2 linked regions of the Kluyveromyces lactis genome follow. The protein of the gene in region 1 purifies or fractionates together with the protein of each later gene. This does not show direct contact. Links are inferred from orthologs where the notes say so. Each region holds a gene or a part of one and is shown on either strand. Other genes may lie near its edges. The genes, in order: TEL1 and TEL2.

The links.
Region 2: the proteins of TEL1 (region 1) and TEL2 purify together in Saccharomyces cerevisiae (affinity purification with western blotting; 4 studies listed by BioGRID). This does not show direct contact. The link is inferred for Kluyveromyces lactis from reciprocal best matches to the Saccharomyces cerevisiae genes TEL1 and TEL2.

Annotation. Positions count from the first base shown.
Region 1 is NC_006041.1:633,361-643,197, reverse strand, and holds the start of TEL1 (DNA-binding protein kinase TEL1), read left to right. Parts: upstream 1-3,758; coding exon 3,759-9,837. Other genes in the region: SPR6 (Spr6p), read right to left, coding at 124-699; SUMO-targeted ubiquitin ligase complex subunit SLX8, read right to left, coding at 968-1,807; KLLA0_E06997g (60S ribosomal protein uL14), read left to right, coding at 2,527-2,568, 3,078-3,449. UniProt on the Saccharomyces cerevisiae protein: Serine/threonine protein kinase which activates checkpoint signaling upon genotoxic stresses such as ionizing radiation (IR), ultraviolet light (UV), or DNA replication stalling, thereby acting as a DNA damage sensor.
Region 2 is NC_006040.1:1,277,368-1,286,964, forward strand, and holds TEL2 (Tel2p), read left to right. Parts: upstream 1-4,527; coding exon 4,528-6,528; downstream 6,529-9,597. Other genes in the region: ESP1 (separase), read right to left, coding at 1-4,227; HOB2 (Hob2p), read left to right, coding at 6,906-9,597. UniProt on the Saccharomyces cerevisiae protein: Part of the TTT complex that is required to stabilize protein levels of the phosphatidylinositol 3-kinase-related protein kinase (PIKK) family proteins. Required for telomere length regulation and telomere position effect.

The sequences.
Region 1 (9,837 bases):
GTAAATATAAGTCAATATACAGTCGACAGTGCACTGCGTACTACTGTATTATATACTGTCTAGTTGTTTTGTCTTGCCTTATTGGAAGAAATGCAGTATAATGTCCCATTACTACTAATTATTTCAATTCCTTTTGTTGGTTGAGTTCATACACATGTGGTTTATAATTCTGTCTATCTGTTTACTTCCGGTGTTCCAGTATACATGTTTGTTATCAAAGACTGGATGTCTTTTCATAATCATGTATTTAGTTATATCATGCTTCAATGGACTTGGTGCAACCGATTTGAAGCGACAAATGCAATTCAATGTTGGTTGTAAAGTGTAGCCATGTTTAATCCCGTGGAACGGACAATATGCACATCGATGGTCTTGATGTCCAATGAATATACCGCAGCGGATTTTCTTCAATTCATTTTTTGGGAACCTATCCAATCTTAATGGTTTGTGCCGTACTCGGTAGCTTTTGGACCAAAGATAATATGACGCTGGTTTTTTCTTGTAACAGTAGTTTTCGTATTCCTGGAGGTGGTTGTAGTGCTGTTTCTGTTTTGTTTTAAGTCCAGTTTCCTCGGTGTTGACAGGTATTTGATTCTCAGTCTTGTTTTCATTTGATCTGCATTTGGAGTCGTTCGAAGTTGCAGTATAGTTATAAGTCATAAGAGTTTTAGATATGGGGAGTGAAATTCGAAATATCATAATAAATAAATAAATAAATATATATATGGCTATAACGAAGGGTTATTTCTTGGGAAAAAAAGGGTATACTGTTAAGGTTCTGTCTCCTTTTTTATACACACACTCCATTGTTCTACTGCCATTGAGAGGTACCTTGATTGAAGTGCATTTATGTCTGATGATTTTTTTGTGACTGTCATCGCTTAAAAAGTTGAAAGGCTGAAAAATTGCAACAGCGACAGTATTATGTAAATTCATTGCTCCTATGTATAGTCTCATTAGGTATTTATTAGTTTGGTTTTCGGATCCGGTTTTTCCTCATGACGATTAATCTAAGATCTTGGAGTTTGACGTTTTCTCTGCACAAGGCACATAAACCGTTCCGTCTACCGTTACCTTTGGAACTATTCACCATACCGTACAGACATGTAGTGCAAAAAACATGTCCGCACTTGGTTACTAAAGCCGCTTCTGGAGGTTCCATGCAAATGGGACAGACGTAATCAGCCGCTTTTTTCGTCTCTAAGGGTGTCTCTGACATATCCTTACCAGACTTGTGGCCTTCAGTCTCGTCTTCATCATCTATCTCAATAACCTGCTGTGCTTTAATCTGTTCCTCTTCCGTGAGTACTTTGATGTCATCGTCATCGCCTTCTCCAACGGCCTCGTGCAGTTCTTCTTCTTCTTCTTCTTCTTCTTGGTCTTGTGCTTCTGCTGATTGGTCTTGCACATTTTGGTACGCCACTCCATAATCTGCAGTAGAAATGATTGCAGGCTCTTCATTATCAGATACCTCTTGGGGCGGTGCGGTGGCGAGATTGCTCTGCTCTGTAGTGTCGCCTATTTCAGTGACATGTTGTGTTTCTGAAAGTATGTCTGCATCATCAATACTTACGATGGACGTCCGACTTATTCGTCTCGACTTCCTTCGTAGTTCTTCTTCTTCTTCTTCGATATCAGTTTCGGACTCTTGCAATTCGTGGCGCCTGCGCCCTGTAACTATTCGTTCATCCTCATCCTCACCAGTGCGGACAGTGCTCTGTCCCATAGAAAGACCAGGTACCAGCTGTAACTGATCCGTAGTATCAGAAGAACTAACTACCCGAAGACTGTCATCTTCATTCACCATTCCAAGTTGATTTATTTGTAAGAACACTTAATACAGTCTGGACATTAACTACCCTTATTAATACGCCGATGACTCTCTTCAGGTAAAGAGTAAAAAAGTATCAGAAGTATGGATTTAAACTTAAAAAAAAAGGCACTGAGTATACCAGTGGTAGTGAGATATGGCCAAATTTATAGTATGATAGAATTTTCTATACTTCAGAAACCCGTTGGATCATTCGTCTAATGATTTTAAGTCTTTGGTAGCTGAATTTTTGATGTGTATGATTCCAAATGTCTCTAACCTCAATGGAATATTTTGGTTCTTGATTGCTTATATTGAACACAGAGGGAAACCATAGGTGTGACTGTCCTAACTCTTTCCTTTTTCATTCGGACCCATACACCAGTACACCATATGGCAACGAACCCATACACCTCCCCACGCACATTGTATTCCTATTTCTTTTAAAAATACTAACACGATTGCCGTTTTAGGCAGCATTGGGCTTATTTTTTTGCTCCCACAGAAACACAGTACAGAGCTATCCAGAATTGAAAGCTCCTTGAGTTTGTCATTATGGACTGGTGAGAATATCAGATTACAGGTTTTGATAATTTTCAAGCCATTGGTTGAATTCGATGGAGTAAGATAGTTATTAACAAAGGCTTGATTTGTGTACGTTCTGCTTTATTTCAGATTCTAACTCATTAACCAATCCACACCAATAAACAACAAAGATGTCAGGTAACGGTGCTCAAGGTACTAAATTCAGAATTTCTGTATGTTAGAAACGTTTTATTTGAACGAATAAGCAAACTCAAAAGCGAAGCAGATAGGCGGGATACCAGAGAGATTAGCGAATCATAACACGAATAAAACGTCATGAGAGACAGATTAGGTCGGGTGTTAGAATAGAGTCTTGAAAATATGTGACCCATCCAACTCGAGTGAAGAATAGTCAAAACTGAATGGGAATATGTAACCCCAAGAAAATGAAGAAAAAAACCGACTCGCGATATACTGAACATGCAACTATACCATCAACGACGTTTAGCTAAATGATCCTGAAACTTTCAACTTTCAACACTATCAGGTTTAAGTGCTTTTATTTTCATGAATCAACTGTGTTACCAAATAATTGATATTATGAGGTGCAAAAGAACTTGATGACTAGTCTCGATGTGATGTCCCTCGCAGTTTGAATTCAAATATATGAACTATTTTACTAACAAATTTTATGAATACATTCATTCTTAAGGAATGGGTGTTGTCAATTTTATTTTAACAGTTAGGTCTACCAACTGGTGCCATTATGAATTGTGCTGACAATTCTGGTGCTAGAAACTTGTACATCATGGCCGTCAAGGGTTCTGGTTCAAGATTGAACAGATTGCCAGCTGCATCTCTAGGTGATATGGTTATGGCTACTGTCAAGAAGGGTAAGCCTGAATTGAGAAAGAAGGTTATGCCAGCTATCGTTGTCAGACAATCCAAGGCTTGGAGAAGAAAGGACGGTGTCTTCTTGTACTTCGAAGACAATGCCGGTGTCATTGCTAACCCTAAGGGTGAAATGAAGGGTTCCGCTGTTACTGGTCCAGTCGGTAAGGAATGTGCCGACTTGTGGCCAAGAATTGCTTCCAACTCTGGTGTTGTTGTTTAAATTAACCCTATCCAACTTTACTTAAAAAATAATAGTCATTATATGTGTAAATTTAAACAATATTTAGATCGAATAAATCTGGAGTATTAGTTAAAGGTATTCTCAAAGCTTCTGCATTTCAATACGGTTTTAACTGTGAGATATCTCATTACCACGTCTATTTACAGTTTTTCCTAACTTTACATTTGCATGAAATAATGCAAATAATGTAAATAAAGAAATATCAAAGATAAACGTCTGTCTATAGAAAGAGAGAACCGAACGTTATATTGAAGATAAACTGCAACAAATGTCTTCGTTACATAACTAATGAGCTTTAGCTTTGAGGTGTCTGTCATCGTAACAGGACTGTCATCTCTAAAATTGAAGACTCGTAATGATTCTCTCGATAATCTAAATTTACTGTTGAAAACCTCACCAACTGAGGTTCCCGTGAAAGCGTTCTCTCCCATATTGGATGCTATTATAACCATTATAGAGTCCGAAAAGACTAGATATGAAAAAACCAGATTAGAGAATGGCAAGGATGCTAGGATAGAACTATACGAGAACAGATTGGGCTCTGCCGCTTACACTTTAAGGTTGTTTGTGGAAAGAAATTGTGAAAGATTCAAACCTAAACATATCAAACTGTTATCTATGACGTTATTTGAATTGATGACTAGACCACGTTCAAGATCACTGATCACATCCGTGGCAGATCACCTAACTTACTCTCTTGTGGCTCTATGTGGTTCCCCTGTTTTTCAATGCAATTTTGAATTGCACCAATGGATTTCACTTTCCCATGATATCAGCGATGCAGTAACATACCATCTTGATGTTTCATATAATGATAAAATAATAGCGAACCTTCTCCAAACATTACTAGAGCTCTTTCAAATCGACACAATAGGAATTGAGGACATTGCTACTCCTGTCGTAAGAATGACAATCAAATATCTTACTTTGATAACAAAGGAAAACACTAATACAAGAACCATACTAACATTGGTCAATTCAGCTATATTAAGACTACATCTGATAAGATTTCAGGACGTGATAAATCTTAGCTATTACACAATTAAGCATCTACTAAGAATTAAATTAACCAATGAAAATAATATAGGGGAGATCGCGAGATTCAATTTGATGATATCAGAAGTGCTGTACAATAAAACTCCGATAATTGTAGGCGAGGACAAGGATCAGTCATATGTTAACAAAGAGAAATTGCTCCCTGCGCTTCAAGACTATTTGATTCATTCGTTGAAACAATACGATCATACAAAGTTCACACTAGACTGTGTTACCTTCATAGATGGTCCTGCATCTTCAAAATTCAATTGGTATAGCTTTTCTGATATTTGCCAGAATGAAAAGAATTGTCTAGAAGATATATGGCTTTATGCTCTGTCTCTGACAATGATGCTGAAAGCTAATTACCAATTCCTAGAATATAAAGAGAGTTCTTTAGCCGGAGGTTCACTACTTTTTAAGAGAAGAAAAGTAAAGGATACATTCGCCCATATGTTAAAGGATTCATTGACATACGACGATTTCCTTTGTAATTGCATTGATAGTGATTCTATCAAAATCAAGACAACCGGTTTGCATATTGGATTGCTTTATCTTTCAATTTTTGACTGTAGTAACATTGAGTTGTCTCATTTGAAAGAGGAATTGTTTCGGTGCTCCCAAGATGTTAGATTCATGTTATTATGTCTCAGTTGTTTCATTCCGATGTGCTCTCAGAGCAAAAATTCATTCAGTCCGGAAGAGGAAATACGACTGTTTAAGATGTGTGTACCCCTTTTGAAAACAAGTAACGGGTGCAAAACTGCTTGTAGTTTACTCTACAAATTAATTGAATTTCAGTTAGAACCAATTAAAGACAAGAGTGTGCTACAGCAAATGTCAGATCTGTATTTGTTATCTGATGTAAATGGCCCTGCATTAGTTTGTAATGAATCTTTCAAATTTTGGATGCATCTTCACTATTATGCAAAAACCTTTCAGACCGTTAAAAGTCCGATTACGTACGTTTTTTCTTGGCTATACGCTAGGTGGGATCAGCTTTTTACTCTGGTTGTGTCGGAAACGCACTTTTACGTATTTGCATCCTGGTTATGCGGCTGCACGCATACTACTTTCCCCACTTTCGAATATAGTAGGCCATCTTTATTTCATGACACATGGATGGGTTTGTCTGAGGAAAGGGCAAGTATAACTGGCTTCTCCTTAACAATTAGAACGATTGAACTGCGAAAGCAAAAGTTTGCTCCTGTTTTCTGCGAAGAAGCCGAACGTGTGAGGTTCATGTACAAACTTTTTGATTTAATTGATGAAAGTGCAATTTCAGCTACTTTCATTGATAGGGCAATCCAGGTGCTCCGTACCATCGAAAGTCTCGTTGGCCAAAGAAACTACACCGACTACTTGTCAAGATTTAAAGAGATATTCCTTTTATCATCCTCGGTTATCGATTTTGGTCAGAACGCTCAGATTTTCTCGGTAATGGAAGGCATGATTTCACTCAAAGATTCTTTACTTCGACACATCATTATGGATATTTTACCAACAGAGAAAGTTTTATCAACCTTTATGCAGAGGCTTGCAGAACATACTCAGCAGACTTCACATCAGGATGAATTTTTAAGTCACCATGCAAAGCCTGAAGCAGGAAGCATCCCTATTTCCGAAATGATAGAAATAGGTTTTGAGTTCGCACTACAAGTACATTCAGTATCAAAAGCATTTGATCCTTTATCATCATTTATTCTTTATTCGAAAAAGTTATCATTGCCAATGCTGAACAGAACATTGCCGAATTTGATTACATATCTGGAAAACAATGAAAATGAAATTCCAACTGCCAGCCTTGAAAGACTAACTCAATTCTTGGGTTCCTCACTATTAGCTCCAAGCTTTGACACATCTTCGACCTCAATGAAATTACTGACAAGATATCTTGAAGGAATATCAAAATACTGGGTTATGGAAGATCGAAGTCAAGTTCTGACTGCCGACTGCAATGACATTTTTGATTGGATTGTGACACAATATGACGAATCATCGTTCAGCGGTGTGGAAGCTTTATATGAGCTCGCTCGTTTTATGACTCTTTTATTGGAAAAGTACAACCTCTCCAATAGTTCCATATCTGGAGGCAAACAAAGAGTGTTCAAGATACTCAGTGGTTGCATTACTAGGTTGCCGAAATACTTGACGAACAGGGTAGTATCTCTGCTCGGAACCTATGTCAAAAGGGTTGGTGTTACTAATCAACGTATATTATTCAAAGAACTACTTCAGAGATTCAATCCTCCTCAAGAGTCGGTTGAAACTGCTGCATTTTTTTCGTTGACATGTACGAAATTATCCCTTATCAATGAGTTTTATTTGCTCAACTCTATCTTACATCTGTTAGATAACACAAACTTCTCTCATCTTCTCTTATATGTTGAAAAAAGTTTGGATACGATCTCAACTTTTTATGGCCTTTGTTCTAAACAAGATCTCTTTCATCAATGCAGATATTTTATTATAGACCAGTGGTTTACAAAGTCTGCCAAATCCAAGATATATGAACCGAGCATATGGAAAGTGGAACTTTTTGAGTTTGAGTTTGACGAGTTTTGTATCAGATATCAAATGGAGCTAACGAGTTTTTTCTTCGCAAAATCATCAACCTACTATTACATTATAGACCATCTAAAGAAATTACTGAACTTGAAACAAGAGGCGCTTCTTACTAAATACATAGCTCCTACTATTGCCTTATCATATGTTGATTCAGGCGTGAAAGACCTCATCTTTGATATAGCCGCGGACCTGTTAGGCCGAAAATTCCCAAACGTTCTCACTATTAATTTGGATGACGTCATTTACTACTTTATCAAGTTATCAGATCTCTCCAACCTTGCTACTTCGTTGACCTTTTGGTGTAAAATTTTCAATTCGAGCCGATTCACAAACATGCTGCATTATAATTCATCGAACTGTATGCAGCTGAATGATAATGTTGCAATTGCCTTTCCAATTGTCTATAAAGTGTTGAAAAAGAATGTTTTTACTGATATTGATGATGGAAGAAGCTTTGAATATGTGATACAAAGACTTGTTATGGATTTACAAAACTGCGTACTAATTGATCAAAAAATTCGTGTGTTAAGGCAAATAAAATTATTAGTATTATTTTTTGAGCATAAGCTAACTTTGTTCAAAGATATCGATTTTTTCCTGTTGGAACTATCGAAGTTTTTATTCAACGCCGACATTTTTTCAGAAGTGTATGGTTTCATATTGGATTTACTTGAGTTTTCCGCGAACAATAAAATGGATGTTGCCCGATCATTGACAGAACTCATGAGATTCTGCTTTACTGTAACTGATTCAAATGTCAAAAAAACGTTATTCCCTAAAGTGAATCCAGTTCTGTTCAACTTTTGTGTTTCTGATGGCAAACAGCTGTATGCTACCTGTTATGCGTTATTAACCCTAGAAACAAACTCTTTCGGATGGAATGATATTGCACAAGTCTTCAAATTCCAGGAAGTCGACCGAACTTCGGTCTCTCTTTTATCTGACCTATTTGATAATTTTGATTATGATGGGTCGTTCGACGCAAATTTAATCTCTCCCACTACTATTCAGAATTTGATATCTATACCGCGAGATAATGCAAGAGTTTCCGATAAATTCAGAAGGTGGCTTGGAAATATTCTAGGTGAAATTGTTTATACAAGGCCTTACGATCACATAATTCCACATCATTGTTCCACACTTGACTTGGAATCTGGTATATCTGGTCTACTGCAAATTTTATGGGTACAATATCAGAAAGCAGACGATATAAGCCTGCGTTTTCTGCTTGATCATATCCAGTCGATTATCTTACAGGATGAATCTGTCCTAGCAGAAATCAGTTCTGACAGTTACTCTTCCTTGGTGAATTTAAAAAACTTAACTGATATAAGCTGGGAAAAATTTGAGAACTGTCATGGTATGCTCAATATTAAACTGGGTGAAACCTTCTTAACCCTGACTTTCACTGACAGATCTTGTCACTATCAAAAGTGGATTTCCGCCTTTATATGCAATATCTTACTTGTGATTGTTGAAAAATTCCCTTCTTTCAGAATTTTAGCGTTGCTGTGTGATAATACTGCGTTCCTTCATTCGGCTATCATATCACAGCTAATTAAAATACTGCTTGTAAGTTTCCCTAAGCAACGCAGCTCTTTCCTCTCCGATATCTTGAATAGAGCAGATGAAATTTTTAAGACAGAGGATCGTACGTTGAAAATGGAAGTTATCACGAAAGTATTCTCTATTATTAGAGGAATGGCATTGAACGGTGTACAAAATGCACTTTATGTTTATGACAAAATTAAACTCCAGCCTGTGATACCCATTATGCTCTCTCTCGGATCAGAGATTTGGTCCCTCATGATATATGAAGAATTTTATGGAGAATACTGCACTGGAAAAATGTTGGATTATGAATTACTGTATCAAATATATTCCAAAATTGACGAAAAGGATCTCTTTTATGGACTTCCATTATCATCTTCACTAGCATCTTCTCTGACCTTGATTTCTAAAACAAAATTTAATTCATACACCAATTTTGCATTGAGTAATGGTCGGTTTGAAGAGGGGCTAAGAAATAAGGACTCCTCATGCTTGCATGAGTTTGCTTCAGTCACATCATCGAATGGCTTTACAGGTTTGGCAACGATGCTAGATAGTAACTTCGAAAATCCACTGCTTTCTGCAAATCAATATTCATGGGCTCTGAAACTAAATAAATGGGATTTGCCAATTCCAGAAGCAAGAGATTCATTTGCCAAGTCTGCATTCAGCATTCTTAAGGATGTAAAAGAAATCCCTGATTTTTTTTCATTTGATGATCACATTTTAAAGGTGATGGACGGTGGATCTTTACTTAAGAATTCTCAACTAAACCTCGAAACTATGGAATCCTTAGGTCTACTCGTTTCATTAAAAAAATTGGGATCCGCAGATATGAATACTCTTACAACATTGAACAATTTACGTGTCCATGACACCCTTAATGCAGACTATCTTCCCGAAAACGTTTTCGATATTTTACATTGGAGTAGGCATTTTTTCATCGAGTCAAAAATTAATAATACCTCTGTCATCGAACATGCTCCAGGATCTAATTTCACTCTTCAGCTGGCAAAAATCTTAAATCTGGTTCATGCCTCTACATTTTGTAGAGATCAAGGAAGATTTCAAGATTTGATTAATATTGTAATGACTCTCGAAGCAGCTGTCGACGATATTACAAATAATCCAGCAATTGGTCCCTCTGACACAATTACATTGTTCTGCAAAAGAATATCAACCGTTGAATCTGCCAGGATGCTTTGGGCGAACA
Region 2 (9,597 bases), on another chromosome or scaffold:
TACTGTCTCTGTTCTACCCAAATCATTTCCAGGATTTAAGACAAACGAGAGATTCTCAGAAACGTTGACGCAAGGAGAAAGCTCTGAGTGTTTGGTTAACAATTCGTCGAGCATTTTTATTGACGGGACTCTGCTGATGGATATGGATTTCAAGAAATCTAAAGATTCCCAAGGTATCGAGTGACATTTATTACCCAATATTAAAAACGTATGATCTAATGTTTGATCTTTGGTTTTAGATTCTGCATTATATTCTTGTAACAGCTCTTCGAATTTAACATGCATTAGATTTACGTCAATCTCATCATATGCATTTTGCTCGCCGTGGAATAATAATATATCAAACACGAAATATATTAAATCTTCCATCATGCTTACGGCCTTCTCAGTTGGTTGATTTATCACATCTAATAGGACAAATAATTCTATCAACATGTTATCTACCTGAAGAAAAGAATCTGATTGTCTCGATGATTTTCTTGAAGGAAGATGCGTGTGTAGTATTGATTGGAAGCCCTTTTTGAAGATTTCAAATTGCTGCTGATCAACTATTCTTGGGTTAAAAACTCCTTTGAACCCACAAAACCATGAATCCTCAATTTTAGTGAGAAGAGTTTGGAGTCGATTGTTCAAAGCATACCTTTCATCCCACCAGTTCTTCCTTTGTTCTTTGGTGGTAATGACCGAGGTAACTTCAATTGAAGTGGTACAATTGTTGGAAGAAATGATATGGTTTAACTCATCGAGGGCGGCTTCAAAACCCAAGACCTCTTCCGAAAGGTCTCTGGAATTATGACGATTCAAAGGTAAACGTAAATGAAGGTGTTTGTTGCGTACTGTATCGAATCTAGTAATTAATAGATCACCAGTGAGCTGGCAAATGTCAATCTCTACCACATTGAATGAGAGATGAGACCATTTTTTCCCAAACTCTGAATGAATAGTTGCCAAATTCATATTACATTCTGACATTTCAACGGATTCAGTAGCAATAGTTTCGGGTATAAAAGAATCATATATCTCTGTTCCCATATCAGAGAAAGCTTTTTCATATAGTAATGACAATGATCTTGGGTGATCTCGTAACCTGAAATTCTGCCCAAGTTGGCTTTCCAGCCTTGTTTTGGTACTCATGTTGAAGAATAGTGACAATGTCAATGAATGTAAGCTTGCTAACTCTCGAATTTCATGAGCTTTTAGGGCCTTGATGTCAGCATTTTGAATGAAGCGATCTGTCATTTGTAAATTATTGATTGCAGTGGAACGATCAAAAGAATAGGCAAGTGACTTACCCCTAGGAGTAAGAGATGATGGGCGGGGTGAGTCATTCACGCTTTTTAAAGTCTGTACACTAGTTAGTGATAGTGATTTATGCCTCCCATCAACTGAAATACTATCACAGTCATAGCATGCAGGAATAGCCATCACTGATTCGCCCATGCTTCTGAAGAAGGTATCAGTGGCCATTTGCTTCTGGACCTTGTTGTACAGGATTTTTGCATTGTTCATACATACCATTGCTTCAAAATCTTTTCGTGTTGTTTCAGTTGAAGTTTTTTGACAGCTTCTCAATAACCAATACTCGACAATGTCTGAAATAAACACGTCATCTCCAAAGAACAACCTCATAGAATTATTCAGTTTCTCGGATTCCTTGTTAAAATACAAGAATGTGGCCAAAGCCTCTATGTTTGCACTTCCATCAATCTGGTCGAAGGCAGCATTCATTTTTGTTAGTGATAAAGAGGCATTTTCTGATTCCTCTATCAGCTGGTAATAGGAACATAGGCAGGAAAACATGTTGAAAAGAGCTGTTGGGTTATCCAACGACCCTATAACCTCTTGATATTCGGTTATGAAAAATGCACAGTCTTTGAAAATACCGGTGTGGACATAAATGCTAATAATTCTTTGGAAAATATCGTCAAGAAGGCTTATTACCTCAAATCGATACTTGGCAGAGAGCACCGCTTCTTTCTTTATCAAGAGTCTGCATATTTTGAGCGAGCGTTTGCATTCTTTCAAAGACATATAGACGTTGTTTTGAGAGAGTTGAAGAATGGATGCGCAACGAGTAATTTTGATGTTTAACATTAGAATCTTCAAATATTCAGCGACAGGCATTTTGGTTTTATTCTGAATGTCAAATAGATTGGGTCTAAATCTCGTTAAATCATCATGAATTAACTTATTGAAGGTTTCGATGTCTTTTTTCCACAGTACCTGGGTTAATAGAATGCATAATGTTGTATGTAGCTGATCCACATTCATCTCAGTGAAAGACGACGGCTGGTATTTCAGTGCGGAAACCGTTTCCATGATGGAAAGTTCTACCTTAGGCCCAATTTGCAAGCCAACATATGACTCCAATAGCCAGTATGAAATCAGGTCTGGTATGGATGCATATCTCTGTACGCTTCTTAGTTGTGTACATATTTCAGCAGTAAGTTTGTATATTTTGTTTTGTAAGAGAAAAGGCATCATAGATTCCAAGAGCATAAGCTCTAAATCTGAGAGTTTTGTTTCGTTTCCCTTGTTCACCCATTTCTCTAAGTATATATTGGAGACCTTTTGCAATTTGAGACAGCTGTTTCTGTTCATTTCAGAATTCAAACAGAACATTGATTTTATTAAGACTTCATATTTCGAAAATGAATCCAATGTGTTGATTTTCATGTCGATTTGAAGGTCAGACTGTTTTACATCTGTGACAATATCAGTTAGCATCTGACACAAATGAGACCACTTGAATTGGTAAGAAAAATGAGAGCCAGAATATAAAAGACACAACATTGGCTCTGAAGAAAAGTTGAAGATTTCAAATTTGTCTAGTTTCATCCTGCGAAAGCATGGAACTAAACTCTTTCTTGTCAAATTCCACATATCTTGGAGTGTATTTTCTTTGAAGATCATGAAAACGTTGCATACGTATGAAAATAGCAACTTTTGAACATTTCTATCTTGGCAGCAACCAATAATTCTCTCGAACTTTTTAAAATGCTCTAAAATATTCGACGTTCGTAAATATGCTCTGTAATTGACCATGGCGGCATGTTCTAAGAATAGAAGCTTTCGTTTCGTAACAAAACAATTGTATAGAACAGCCGCAACATTATCAGTCCTTTTGAAGTCCTCAAATGATAAAAATATTTTGGATAGGTAAACAAGAACATAAATTACAGCTTCCTCATTCAGGTCTTTAATGGAATTATTGACAGAAATGATTAGACTATCACACAATCTCGAGGATGATTTGTTTAAGGCAGCTTGATACAAAAAAGGTCGTAGAAGTGCATCGATCTTACCTGCAGAAAAACTCTGGAGGCGCAATTGATTTCTTATTTCCGTGCAAACGTCCTTACCTATAACATCAGTCCTCAAAAATTCGGTCAAGTTCACTTGATCGTTCTCCATATGTTTCGTATACTCATCATAGTATTTCGGTAAATAGATGTGGCAGTTTACAGATATATCCTTTCGAAGTAATTTGGTAATTTGTCTTTGAAACGTCGAAGAATCCATATTCTTTATGTAATTACCAAATTCGAGTTTGAACTGATTCACATACTGAACGAATTTGAGTCCAAACAAAGGCTTGAATCCAGTTAGCAATGTAAAGAAGTTTAATATTAGCTTCACCAAAGCGTGGACTTTCACATTAGGGTCTTTCAGAAGGTATCGCGTATCATGAGCAAAGCATTCCAAAAGACTTTCCGCGTGTCTTTCTGTCGTTCCTGTTTTCAATATCAACTGCATTGTTATTACTTTTAATGTTGCTAAGTAATTCTCATTGCCCGCAGAAAAATCACTTAACAAAACGTCATCAATACCTTTGGCCTTAATTAAATTGGTTTCGTTGTATAGCATTAAGATCTGATTGCTAGCTTGTGTCAATTTGTTTCTCTCCATCAAAAAAATAATCCAATTCATATGCTTTTTCGGAAGTTCCTGAAGTTTCTTCAACTGATGACGCCAGATCAATTGGCGATATAACTGAATGAAACTATCATTTACTTGAATGTAGTTCTCAAAATCTTTGCTCTTATTATCCACAAAATCGTACAATTTCTTCCAGTCAATCAGGGAGTTGGTATTATTCTCCTGTGCTGTAGTTATCTTCGAACTATTTGACGTAGCCTGCCATTCCGTATCGTATTTTGTTGATCCAGCGTTTAACGGTCTTCTAACTCTGTTGTCAACTTTCATATCACTCAAGACACCTTTCATTTCGATATGACTGCTGTCTGTTTCAAACGTACTACAGTATGGGCTAAAGCCTGGCTACCCAATATCCACGAAGTTGGCGGGCTGATATGTGTATAGTCTCTAGTTCTTTCTGCAATCTGCCACTTTCAAGTACAGAATCTAATATGTAAACAAAAACAATTCTTTATTTGTGTTATTGTAAAGATTGACATTTAATATGAGATGAATAAAAGACTATGAGATGAAAACCTATAGATGAGACAAGCATTGCAAAGCTGCTAAAGTGCTGCTGACGTGATAGATTGTATATTATAGCGCACAATGTCCGGGATTGATAGTACTTTGTTGAATGAGAAATGTGATAAAGATACCATTTATCAGGTACTAGAACGAATGTCATCAAAGAAACAGCATTCTAGTAACGAAATACTCCCGATAATCAAGAATGTGGTACCAATATATCCATCGCTACCGAGAGAATTAAAGATGGCACTACGCAGGCTATGCGGTAATAATTACATATTCATATCATTGGTTATTGAGTATGCAAAAGAATTGGGTAAGAATCGTGAGACGTCAATATTCTACGGCTTTTTAACGGATGTTCTTAAGTATGAGAGTGATTGTCTATTCAATTACTTAGAGCATTCGTCAAGAAGAGATCTCCCTTTTATCAAATCGATTCTGTTTGGAAGCAGATGTTATAACGCTTTAAGCAGCAGTATTTCCATCGTTGAATATTTAAAGTTTATGAAGATGCAATGGGAATTTGTCTTTAAAGAGACGAAGCAATATGATAAGACGCATCTCGAAATGTTCGTTTCATGTCTACAGCTCAATATTCCTTATGGTGTTGATATATTCATTGAAGGGCTTGCTACTACTAGTGAATTTTCATGGAATGCTTTGATTATGATGTTATCAAAGGGGACCTCAGTTCAACAGAGGAGATTTTTCATGTATCATTTGGTCCCGTTCCTTGAAAAAGTAACTAATCCTGATAACAGCTCTACCATTTTCACACTACTATCCCAGTTACCATTCGATATCCCAACTAGCATAGATTGCTTCAAATGGGGAAATCCGTATTTTAAAATTGTTTACTTGCATGGTATGTCAGAAGCGAAACGTGCACAGCTCTTCAGAGAATTACTACCATGTTTTGAACTGATGGATTTATACACAGATGATTCACTCGCTGAAATCTTGGTAATGATATTAGATGCCATGTCTAAGGATTCCAGAGATGAACTATCGCATGATGCAATTTCCTTGAATTTTGTCACCAAGAGACTTCATTCTGAGGATCATCTGGTTAGGGAGCGTACTATGTTTGTTGCCAAGAAACTTACAAATGATCAGCTTCAATATGAAAGCGATTTTACAATCGATTTGCCTCGAATTGAACTAATCAAGCTATCCAAACTTGAATTTCCCATTAAGGAAGGACTACAAAATCTGCCAAAAGGGAACTCTACAAAGAATGAACTTGTACAGCAATTTAATACCATAACTTTGCAGGACAGTGACGATGAATCTGATGAAGAAGATTCTAGAGACATCTTGTTCCTCAAAGATCTTTTGCTGGAATTCGAGAAAGTTATCAAGAATGATGGGTCCGAACTTAGATTGCTAAAGGAAACTGTGAAGTTAGTACGACAGAAGAAGAACTTCCCAACAGAAGTATCTTTTTATTCTAAAGAACTCCTCAAAAAGATAGCCACCATATCGAACAAGTTTGACGAAAAATCATTTGAAGAATGGAAGGCTAATGCATTAGTTAGCATATTGGTTGTATGTCCAGACAAGATTGTCGATCTTTATGCAATTCTCTTCAATAACGAGTTATCGTTGCAACAAAGGATGGTAATCTTGACATCTGCAGCATTGAGTGCAAGGGAACTACGGGGTTTTGATGATGAATTTGTGGTGAAACCTAAATACGATTTTCCTACTAATCGATTACCATGGGATGAATCGGCCACTGAACAGCAACCTGAAAATAATAAGATACAAGATATTACTGAAATAACAGGAAGCAAGGTTACTTGGAGATCAAAACGTTTAGAGACTGATAGTAAGATTACACAACAGCAGAATAATTTTAGGAAGTACGCTACACTCTTCTTCTATCCCTTGGCACATGCTTGGTTGAACGGAATTAACCTTGGTGCATTCGATAAAGTGTTCAAGAGACACTACATATCTATGCTCAAGATCATTTTAACTTGTGCAAGTCCTCATTATGAGCTAGAAGAGATGCAAATTTTGATGCAAGAAATCCTTTCGGATGCTGTGAAACAACAAGTTCAAACCTCTTAAGACTCATTGAATGACAAAATCTGGGGAATTCAATGGAGCCTATGGTTAGAGGAAAAAAAAATTTTCATCAAATTACTACCTGCACACGCAATGTATATCTCGACATATTTGACTTCATAACCTATTTACACTGTTAAACCGTCTCGAGCGTGCAACCAAAGGTTTCATTGCTTTCCCATAAGCAGTTAACGAGTTTAGGTGCCCCAGCGCATTGGTCACGTGATTTCCCGAAGCTTCTCTTTTAAGGTAAAGAAAACGCTCAAAAGTTCGGAATAAGACGCTGATCATTACAAACAACCATTCACTTCTGCTCACCGCCAATCTACCGACACGTTAGATCTGGGTAACAAGTAGCTACTTGCGTCAGCCAATGAAACATGGGATATGATATTATATCGCTGTTATTCAATGGCATTAAATCAATTCTGGCATTGATGACGATACTTTTCGTTACGCAACAGATTATATTCAATCTTGCGTTACTATACTTCAATGCTAGGATTGTCATTTCTAAGCTCCAGATTGGATTTTTATTTGGACGAAGCATTTATTGGTTGCATCTTATTTACAAAGGCTACAGTTTTAAGGTACGGAAGGTGTTACTACTCTCACTTTTTTCTAAGATTGAATGTTGGGACGTAAATGTGGTATGTGAATTTGAAGAGCATATACCGAAGGAGATATCGGATAATCAAGATATTAGTCTTCTGATACCTATCAGCTTATCCAGATGGAAAGTGCTATGTAAGCTTATGCCAATTGAGCTTCGTTTGGTAAACGTTAATTTCTCATTACCGACTGTTAACTTTTTGACGGATTTGGCAGTTTTAAAGCTGGAGTACAGCTTCGAAACGGATCGGGTAATGCTAGTTGCCTTCTTCCATTCAATAAAGCTGGGGAAAGTTGCAAGCCTCTCTCAACTCGAATTGTCGTCACATTTCCATTGTGTTCATGATGATGCCGGTCTAAAGTTGCACAGATGGACCAGTGGTGTTAACATAGGTGGATTGAAACTGGATACGACAGTACGTGAAAAGATGTATCGTCCAATTGGAAAGACCCGCTCTAGCGAAAAGACAATAAGAAGATACAAGAAATTCCTTGAAACGCTTGAACTTTTCACTGTTCAATTAGAGAATACTAAAGTGTTTCTCCCAAATGATCAATCATGTTTTGTATCCAATGCCTCACTGCATATGAATCCGTCTCGAGAACTAGATAGTTCTGTTGAAAACTATAATATTCACAACCTTACAATTTCGATAAACTCTCTGGTATACACTTTAATTGCTGGAGAGGATATTAGGATACCAGTCGTTAATGTTCTACTTACATGTGACGTCATTGAATTTGCTGAGCAAGACTTTAATGTTCAGTCGTTCACTGGTTCCTGTACTGTCAACATAATTGACCCTCGTGTAACATTATCATTATGCAACCTCCGCGATTTGTTTTTGAAAACACAAACATCGGCGGATACCAAGAATACACCAAACCAACTTGAACTCCCACCAATTATTCTCAAGATAATTATATCCAACAGTAACCTTCTGCTGAAAGAGGATACTAAGAACTACTATCATTTGATTTCAGATTCGATAAGTTCGGAACTTAACCTTCAATCGTTAGTGCCTTCTGCTTATAAAAATGATACTACTGATCTTTACAATACTTTATCAAGTACGGTAAAACTTGAAAGGTTTACAGTAATCTATAATCTTCCCTCAAAGGGTGAGAGACGCAAGCATCAACTCATTTCTTTCGAGAAATGGCATTTCGTTTGTGATAGATACGGTTCGAACCCTGATACGGTTGCTAGCACACTTCACAATATACAAGTCAATCTTGATGAGCTTGTAGTCATTGATGGTCTTCTTAAAGTTGTGAAATCATTCACTCCAGCTGAACCAAAGGAGACTCTCCAGCCTTCTCAAGGAACCAATCATCGCTTCTCATCTTACCAACTTCAAATTGAAGCTAAGGGATTGTGTTTTACGCTATCAGCAAAAGACTATTTACCATCAAACATGCCAAATATAGATCATTCAATTGTACCTCTGAGGGATGGAACCTATAAAATCGGTTTAGAAGTTGATCAATCACATATGTTGTTATCTGGAAACTCCTCACATGCCACTTTTACAGAATTGAGGCTGTATAAATCATCAAGTGACTTCGAAAAATCATACTCGAACGACATTATATTCCTCGATAGGCTTGAAATCAATCCTTCGAGTACTGCTATTGTGATTGACATACCTAAAATGAAATATGAGTTTGACATTAACCTCTTGTGGTTCTGGTTCTATTTCAAGCATTCAGTGATTAATCGGTTTAAATCATTCAAAACTGAGAAACGTGCTTCCCATTCCTCTAACCGCCCAATCGAAATTAACATCAACAACTTCTTTACGGTGCTCAAACTACCGCAGAATATGACGTTGTTATTATTCTTAACTAATATGAAATATACTTCTGGTGCTCATTCAGGTTTTTCTGTTGAAGACCTTGATCTTCTTGTCAAATCAGTATACACAAAGAATCACGCTGTCTACGTTCCACTGCTCAAGATGGCCTTAATCAAATTGTACAACTCGAAACAAGACGGCTATCAGTTGTCTTCAGAATCAATGACTTTGAAGATGGAATACCATTTCAGATTTTATACTATTGTCGACACGATATCTACCACAGTAAAAGCATTCAAACAGTTAAGATCAGCGTTTAATCACTTAGACTCCTTTAATATCCTTTACCCCAAAGCTGATCCTCCAATTATAATGAAGCACATCAATGTCAAGACCAAAACTCTAACTATCACAGTCAATGAAGATTTGTTTGAGCAAGAATTAGGGTTGATTTATAAAGTGGGCGTCTTGGAACAAAGGGAACGTCTAGAAAAATTAACATTATTTCTAAGTTCAGACAAGCTTGCCGGAACTGAAGAATATCTCAATCAACAGTATACCAGACTTTATGAGAATTTTTCAACTTCTTGGATAGCAAGATATCGAGTTGCTAAAAGGAAGTTTCATGGTGCTGAATCTTATGCAGTCAATAACACCATTT